Linked DNA regions of Callithrix jacchus. The protein of the gene in region 1 interacts with the protein of each later gene in a pairwise test. Links are inferred from orthologs where the notes say so. Each region holds a gene or a part of one and is shown on either strand. Other genes may lie near its edges. The genes, in order: CCDC158 and GPSM1.

Evidence for each region.
Region 2: the proteins of CCDC158 (region 1) and GPSM1 interact in a two-hybrid assay, tested with the Homo sapiens proteins (2 studies listed by BioGRID and IntAct). The link is inferred for Callithrix jacchus from reciprocal best matches to the Homo sapiens genes CCDC158 and GPSM1.

Annotation. Positions count from the first base shown.
Region 1 is NC_133504.1:121,635,594-121,639,982, forward strand, and holds the start of CCDC158 (coiled-coil domain-containing protein 158), read left to right. Parts: upstream 1-1,508; 5' UTR 1,509-1,634; intron 1,635-2,118; exon of another isoform or gene 2,119-2,249; intron 2,250-2,709; exon of another isoform or gene 2,710-2,771; intron 2,772-2,830; exon of another isoform or gene 2,831-2,998; intron 2,999-4,389.
Region 2 is NC_133502.1:184,802,710-184,806,964, forward strand, and holds the start of GPSM1 (G-protein-signaling modulator 1), read left to right. Parts: upstream 1-1,217; 5' UTR 1,218-1,326; coding exon 1,327-1,394; intron 1,395-4,255. UniProt on the Homo sapiens protein: Guanine nucleotide dissociation inhibitor (GDI) which functions as a receptor-independent activator of heterotrimeric G-protein signaling.

The DNA.
Region 1 (4,389 bases):
GAGGGCAGAAACTAGAGCTTCTTTGTATCTCCTCAGTGCCCAGCACAGGGTCTAGTGCAGAGTAGGAACCAGTTGAGGAAGACACAACAACCTTGGACCTAGGTGTTGACTCTTAACTAAAGAGCTCTTGGTGACTTGGGCCCTAAATAACTACAACACCCAACCTCTGCTTGTTCAGCCACTCTGCTCAGTCCTCACTGGCCTCTGGGTTGATTTTCAAACACACCAAGCAAATGCCTGAAAGTCTCTGTCTCACAATATCCACACAGATCCCTCCTCCCTGCCCTACAAGTCTCCTTTGAATGTCAGTTTATCAATGAGGCCTTCTCAAGACTACACTATGAAACGTCAACCCCACACTCCCTAACCTCCCAGCTCTGTCTCCACAACACTTATCCCCATCTGGCATATTTGAACTCTATCCATGCATTGCTCATCTTCCTCTACAAGAATGTAAGCACTACAAGGGTAGGGACTTATTGTTCCCTGATTTATTTTCAAAACCTACGAGTAGCATGTGGCAGGTCCCCTGTAAATATGGGTGGAATTAGTGAATAGAAAAGGATTTTGGATCCCTTTCTTGATCTTTTAATTCTTGATTTAAAAAGCTAAGAAGTTGTTTTTAAAACAACATTTTTAAAATGTTGTAAGGTAAAACTGCAGGACACTTCAAAATGCAATGGACTTTATAGTAAAATCGGGGCACAAACTTTTCGTACATATCTGTGGGTGCAGATAATTTCAAACACATCTTTTAATTAAAGACTTTAAAAAGACAAAACCCTTTTTGTGTGTGTCCAGGGTACAAGCACAAAATGAGACACCAATGGTAACCATATATTAGGTATTGAAAATATTTTTAGGTCATTGGAACGCTCATGTTTTGATAGAAAAAGAAAAAAATACACAATTAGAAATTGCTTTTTCTCTAACCACAAAACTTAATTTATTTACCTTTCTATGTAATTCTTATGGTTTCATTTCCTGTTTAATGTTTGAGTCTATAGGTAATCTTAGATCTCTCTGAGCCAATGAATGGATTACAAAGACATGATAAACAATCTTTAATGGCATTTAATCTATTTTTATTAAAATTTGTCATTACATTATGTAATGTAGGACTAATATTTCTTTTTCTTTTCTTTTTTTTTTCTTTGAGACGGAGTTTCGCTCTTGTTACCCAGGCTGGAGTGCAATGGCGCGATCTCATCTCACTGCAACCTCCGCCTCCTGGGTTCTGGCAATTCTCCTCCCTCAGCCTCCTGAGTAGCTGGGACTACAGGCACGCGCCACCATGTCCAGCTAAGTTTTTTTTTTTTTTTTTTTTTTTTTGAGACGGAGTTTTGCTGTTGTTACCCAGACTGGAGTGCAACGGCACGATCTCGGCTCACCGCAACCTCCGCCTCCTGGGTTCTGGCAATTCTCCTCCCTCAGCCTCCTGAGTAGCTGGGACTACAGGCACGCGCCACCATGTCCAGCTAAGTTTTTTTTTTTTTTTTTTTTTTTTTGAGACGGAGTTTTGCTGTTGTTACCCAGACTGGAGTGCAACGGCACGATCTCGGCTCACCGCAACGTCTGCCTCCTGGGTTCAAGCAATTCTCCTGCCTCAGCCTCCCAAGTAGCTGGGACTACAGGTGCGGCCACCATGCCCAACTAATTTTTGTATTTTTAATAGAGATGGGGTTTCGCCTTGTTGACCAGGATGGTCTCGATTTCTGGACCTAGTGATCCACCCACCTCAGCCTCCCAAAGTGCTGGGATTACAGGCTTGAGCCACCCCGCCTGGCCTAATTTTTTGTATTTTTTTTAGTAGAGACGGGGTTTCACCATGTTGACCAGGATGGTCTTGATCTCTTAACATCGTGATCCACCCGCCTCGGCCTCCCAAGGTGCTGGGATTACAGGCGTGAGCCACCACACCCGGCCCAGGACTAGTATTTCTAGTCAATTTATGTATAAGTTATTTTGTCATAGGTGTGCACAATGTGATTGCTAGAATTAAATGCCTCAGCCTGCATCTATCAGACCCTGGCCTTTCTGGATGCCTTCCATTTGATCGATAATTTGGGCAGCACAGAGACGCTGGGTGTGCTTGCAGAAATTGATAAATTCTCTATTAGAGATAACGACAGAGAGTAACTGAAACACAGCGGCGGGAACAAGTCTCCAGAGGCAGAAGTGTCAGCTATGCCGAGAACACGTATGAACTTGAAAAACATTCGGGGACAGAGAAAACAGAGCTGTAAAATGTGAATTCTGTTAACTTGAAATGGTCAAATGGGAATGCCAGGAGTGGGAATGGGGGTGGGGTGGGGGTGTCAGAGGAGGAGGCCCGACGGGCAACGCCAGATTGGGCTTGACTCTTAGTTAAGAGTGCGGGACTGGTGCGGGTCAGTGGGTTATCTGGGAAACCACGGTGGGGACAGCTGCGAGAGTGGCCCAGGGCACTCAGGTGGGGGCAAGAGTAGGGCTAGAGACCAGTTAGGAGGCAGCAGGAGGAGCGGCAGAGGGCGCCGAGTGCAGGCCCGAAGCCAGGGTAGTTTCTTGGACAGGGCTCTAGGATTTGACCCCGGGCTGGGTTCACCCTGCTCCCAGAGGGCGCCGGGGCGGTGATGGGGACTCTGGAGCTCCGTTGCCCCGGCGGAGTCGCAGGCGCGTGCGAGTGGTCCCTACTGGGCAGCGGCCGAGCACAACCCCCTTCTCTCTTACCCCCCACCACGAGGCCTTGCCGAGAGTCCCAACGGTCCCAGAGCGCCACCGCCGCGAGGAGCGACGGGCGCGGGGGAGGGGCGCGGGCAGCTTCCGGCGCCGCCGCCGCCGCCGAGGAGGAGGAGGAGGAGGAGGAGCCGCCGCTGCCGCTGCCGCTGCCGCGGGGCCTAGGGGCGGAGAGTGGGGAGCCGCCGCGTCCCGCCGCCCGGTCGACGCAGGTTGGGCCGCCGTGCCGGCCGGCGCCCCGCGGAGATGCGGCGGGTGTCTTAGGATTAGGTGTTAGTAGCAGGTACAAGCGGGGCGCGGCCCGAGACCGGGATGGTGTGGTTGGGGTGGGGTTCTTATGAGGACCGGGAGGGACTCGTGTTCATTTCTGGAATCTTCCAGTGCTTCGTGTTTGTTTTGCACATGGTAGATGCCCAATAAATTGTTTCTTTACTGGAATGAACTGCTGTTGTTTTCCGGGATCGCCAGACCCCTGGGGACTGTGGCGCTGGAACCTGGACCTCGAAGAACACAGAGGCCTATGCAAAGTGATTTGATTTGTGGGGAAGAGAATCACCAAGTAACCGGCCCCAATGTGACTTTTGACTCCGTGTGTACCGCGCAGTGCAAACAGCGGGAGGAGATGGGGAAGACTTGGTGGTAAAGGGGACAGACAGCCTTGCCTACAAGACGGAATGGTGTTAAACGCTGGCGCAAGGGCCCTTTGAGCTTGAGCCCTGTCTTTAAACCACATGTGGGGGTCAGAGCTTTCCCCCATTAGCAGCCCAATTGAGTTCTGAAAAGTCTCCATCTTTTTCCACAACACTCTGCCCCAGGCCCACTCAGGCTGCTCCAGGTTTTGTTTGTGCCTCATGTTGAACTCCAAGGTCAGGGGAAAGTAGAAGTGAGGGTGGCTGTTGCTCAGATTTTTTGACTGTCGACCAGTTCTTGCTGATTCTCTCAGCAGCAGGCTAAGGGAGACAAAAGGACCAGGGCTTCCACATATCCCAGAGACATGCTAGGTAGGACTGTTTCTCTGTGCGGAAGGTCATTGGGTAGGGGTGGAGGCGTGGTGAGAGAGGTGTGGAGGAGTGGTGAGAGAGGTGTGGTCCTCCTTATCTCTGTACTGTGCTTATTGTTTTTAATCTTAATACGGTTATCTTATTTGTGTCATGTGTGAAATGGTTTCCATGCCATGTAGTTAATATATTTTCCAAAATAAATTGAAGACAGCAATTTATTTGTATGTATTCAAAGCCCTTACTGTTGTTGTGCATTTACAATGAGGACTCAGTGTTATCTAGAAAGTCAGAGCCACTTTAGACCTCCATCATTTATTAAACAGAGCCTCTTGTGATCCACCTGTCCCCCAGCTAGACGGCCCCAAATTATATGGTAGGCTGAATAATGGCCACTCAAATATATCAGATCTAATCCCTGAAACCTGGGAATGTTACCTTATAAGGGAAAAGTGCCTTTGCATATGTAATTAAGTAACTTGAAATGGAGAGATTATCGTTAATTATCTAGGTGGGCCTTAAATGCAAACGCAAAGGTCCTAAGAGAGAGAGAAGCAGATTTGATACAGGCTGGAGAGAAGGTGGTATGACCACAAGGCAGATACTGGAGTGATGTGGCCACAAGTCACCAAATGCTCCAAAAGAGCTAGAAGAGGCAATGAACTGATTCCCTCAC
Region 2 (4,255 bases), on another chromosome or scaffold:
TCCCACTGCCTCCCTTACACAGGAAAAACAAACCAGCCTGGGACCAACAGACCCCGTTTTAACCTCGTGTTTATTTTCCTTGCCTGCCTGAAGCCACTGTCCCGTGGGTGGTGTTTGCTGAGGGTCTGGCCAGGGTGGCACTTTCCTGACCTTAGAGCAGCTCTCTCAGGGAGGGGCTCCCAGAGGAGGAGTGCAGCCCATTTCCTGCTCCTGGACTGGTCCCAGTCACACCTGGGATCACAGCTGCCTTTCAGGGGCCTGGACCCCTGAAAAGGCCCCAACACCCCGAGAAGGCCCAGGATGGGGTGGGGAGTGGACACAACTGGGTGAGGCCGGCTGCGGGCCTGGCTGTCTGAGGAGGACCCCTCAAGCCATCAGGAGCTGAGGGTGGGTGGAGAGGAAGCCACAGCACAGCACAGCCCCCAGGGCTCCAGGAATTCAGAGGAGAAGGCGGTGGTAGGGGGCTGGGGTCCCGGGACCCAGGGTAGCCACAGCCTGCTGTGATACCTGCATCCTCCCTAAGCCTCCACAGCCGGGAGGAAGGAATGGGCCGGCTTCATCCCCATTCCAGAGACACCTGGGAGGGGGACGTGGCCACCCAGGGTCTCAGCGGTAGGAGGGCTTACCACCATCCACGGCCAAGCAGAGCCTGTATTTGTCATCAGCGCCCCGGTTTCTCTAAGGCAGGCAGGCAGCATCCCCAGGGCAGGCACCCCATGGCCAGAGGCAGAGTTTGGAGGAGGGGTGCAGCGAGGCGCAGAAGAGGAGGGAGGACCCCCGGGAAAAGGGGGGCGCCCACCAAGGAAGGCAAGGAGGCTCAGCAGCTCCTTTCCACCGCTGGCCAGGCCCGGGCTCACCAGGCAGCCTTGGGTGGAATGAGTCTGAGGCCAGCCGGGCTGCACTGTGACCCAGGGACCCCCGCGGGCGCCCAGAGCCCCCAGGGGACCCGTAGCAAGGCCAGGCCCCAGCCCTCTCCCCTGCACTCGACCCTAGGGGGCTGGGGGCCGCACCCCCCACCCCTTCCCGGGGCACTGCCGGCCGGCGGCGCCCCTCCCCCAACGTCTGCCCCGCCCCCCCCGCAGAGGGAGGTTCTCGGCGGCGGCCGCCGGGTCCGCGCCCCCTCCCCGCGCGGGCGGCGCTGACATCACGGCCACGGCGGCGGGAGGGGCGGCGGCGCCCCGCGCACATCACTTCCTCGGCGCCTCCCCCGGGAGGACAGGCGAACCAGGCGCGGACCGACAGGCGGACAGCGGGGCGGACAGCAGGGCGGGCAGAGGGAGGACGGCCACGGCGCAGGGGGGCCCCCGGCTCCCGCGCGCCCGACCCATGGCGGGCCCGACCCCGTCCGCGGCCGACGAGCTCCAGGGCCCCGCCGCCAGGCGCCTCTACTCCAGGTAGGATGGGCCGGGGCCGGGCTGGGGCCGGGGCTGGGGCCGGGGCGGCCGGGAACCGGGAACAAAGGCGGCTCCCGCGGGCGCGCAGCGTGGCCGGGGACGGCCCCTCCCTCCAGGCCGAGCCCAGTCCGGCGGGTGGCCCGCGTGGGCGTCCCCTGCAGCCCTCTTTCCCCCAAGCCAAGGGGACAGGGGCGGATGTTGGGGGGGGTGCGGGCAGCTTCTCCAGCCTCACTCTCCCAGCAGCTGGCAGGGACACTGTGGGGAACTGACCCCCAAGACTGGCCCTGCCATGTCCGGGGCACTCAGGGACATTATGGCCAAAGAGACTGGCTGTTGTGAATGGGGTTCTGCCCCTCAACATCCCTCCATGATCCCAGTCGGAGCCAGCCAGGTGGGTGTGTACCTGCCGCAAAAGGCACCTGTCCTCCGGGCACATTCCCGTGTGATACAGTGGCTGGGCTCTGTGCCCCACGCCTTGTGGGGATGACAGGATGGCCCTGCCCTAGGTGGCATGCTTGCCTGGTGACTCCCCCTGTTCCCTGAGGGTGCCCTGGGCCCAGCCAGGACAGGTGCCTCATGCTTCAAGTAAGGCTGGGTGGTGCCAAGCCTCAGGCAGAGCCAGACGGCCGGAGGTCCAGACAGGGGCTCACAAATGGGTGGCTGCCCTCAGAGGTAGGCCTGGCTCTCCAAAGTGGGAGGGACACCATTGTCCTCTGGACATCCCTAAATCTGGAGACCTGTCTGATAGGGGTCCCAGATGCTGACCCCTGGGGGGGCCTAGCCTGGCCCCCAAGGATTCTGTGGCCCCAGCCAAGCAGCAAGCCCCTGCCTGGGGCACTCAAAATGTGGCTCTGGCGGCGGTGGACGGAGGCCTTGCTGCCTCTGGTCTGCTCTGTGCTCTGGTCCCAGACACGGCCCCATTGTGTGGTCCTGGATGGAGCGCTGAGTCCCCTAGCCTGGCTCCTGGGCCCCATGCAGGGGAGGGGTGTGAGAGTGTTTTGCTGGCAGCTGCTGCCAGGGGCCTGCCCTAAGGGATTCTCAAGGGTTCCCTCCTTGGAATTGGCTGTGTGGGGCCACATGTGCTCAGGCGGCTGTGCTGTGAGGGGTTGATGGCAGCCCTGGCTGGAGTGCGTGAGTGTGAGTGTGTTACTGTGAAAGTGTGTGTGTGGAGCTGTGAGAGTCTCGTGTCCAGGACCTTAGCCTTGGGTGAGCCCTGCACAACTGACCAAGGGTCGGGCATTCTCCAGGATCCATCTGGAAGCCTGGGGTCCCTCGGGGACACACCAGGAGCCAGCCCTGGGCAGGAGCAGTGTGCTGAGAGGCCACTCAGACCCCAGGCCCAGCCTCACGTCCCCTCAACGGGGAGTCCAGCTGACCTCCAGGGCTGACTCAGGCCCAGACCTGGGGAAGCCCCAGGGGAGTCTACACACCATTACTCGGCCAAAGCCAGGTTTGGGCAGGCAGTTCCTGGTCAGAGCTGGCTTCAGAGGGGCAGGCCTGAGTGCCTAGAGGCGTGCTGGGCCAGTGGAGGCTGTGGGCCAAACCGCAGGGCCCTTTGCTGTCACACTGGGGCTGGAGAGCCAAAAAGTCCCGGGTCTCCTGAACCCCCTGTGCCCTGCTGGTGTGGGTGGTGGGCGGTGGGTGTGGTGTGCCCTGGAGGTGGTTGGCATCTGTGTGGATGCTCCTCATGGGGCCGTACCCCGGTCCCTCAGTGTGGATGTGGCTCCAGGTTGGCCCAAGTTCTCCTCTGCCCCGTCCACCCCCTTTCACGCTGACATTCCTTCCTGGAGAGGGGAGTTCCAGTTTTTAAATAGGGAACTGTGCCTGAAAGACACACTGAGAGGCCATGAACGTGCCTGTGAATCCACCAAGTCCCCAGATGGGCTCAGCGGAAGGGCCCTGGGTGCTGGCTCAGTTGGAACGGTTAGTGCTGAGAACTCTGGCCCATTTGCACGGGGTCCCCCCTGGCCCAGAGCAGGGCTTTGAGGTGAAGGGGCCTGGTGAGGACAAGCCAGAGGCTGAGAAGGTCCCGGAAAGTGGGGATGCCTTGTGTGGTCCTCTCCTGGCCTCCCAGCAGCATTAAGGCCAGCTGAGTGCTCCCCGGGGCTGGGACGGGGAGGGGGCAGTAGAGCAACCCACCTGGGGTGACCCTGTTAGAGGCGCCCTTCAAGCAGCCCTCACCAGTTCCCAGATGGGACATCCTCAGGTGTGGGTTGGCCCCCCAATTCCTCTGGCCACATGACCATGGTACCCCACCTCACTTCGTCCCTCCTCCCTCCTCTGTCCCCCTCCTGGGCACCATCCCTGAAGGCCATGGGCCCTAGGAATTCCTGACAAGCCTGACCCCAGGCGCTTCCTACAGCCTGGTGACCTTCACCTTCCCACTCCAGGGATTCCACCTCCCACCATGCTCCCAACCCAGTCCTTGCCCCTCACTCTCTCCCCTCCCCCGGCCATTGAAAGGGAGCCAGTGTGGTTTTCCCCAGGGGTGTCTGGCTGGGGGGATGGGGTATATAGAGCCAGCTGTGAGCAGGGTCTCCAGCATCTGCACAGGGGCCAGCATGTCTGTGATGGCCATGGGGAGGGGCAGGTGGCAATTCTGTTAGCGGGGCTAGGGCTGAGGGACACAGCTCTCAGGTGGCTGGGGTGGTAGAAGCTGGGGGGCTGGCTTGGAAGCTGGCCTTGGTAGTGGGCACCCCAGCCACCATGGAGGGTTTGGGGGTTCAGTCTGTTGACGGGGGCTGAGCAAGGGAGAGGCATTCTAGGCCCTGCCCCACCCCCTTGGCCAAGCTGTCCTGAAGATGGACAAATAGCCCAGCCTGAGTGGGACCCCTGAGCCCACCAGGCCTCCAGGCCAGGAG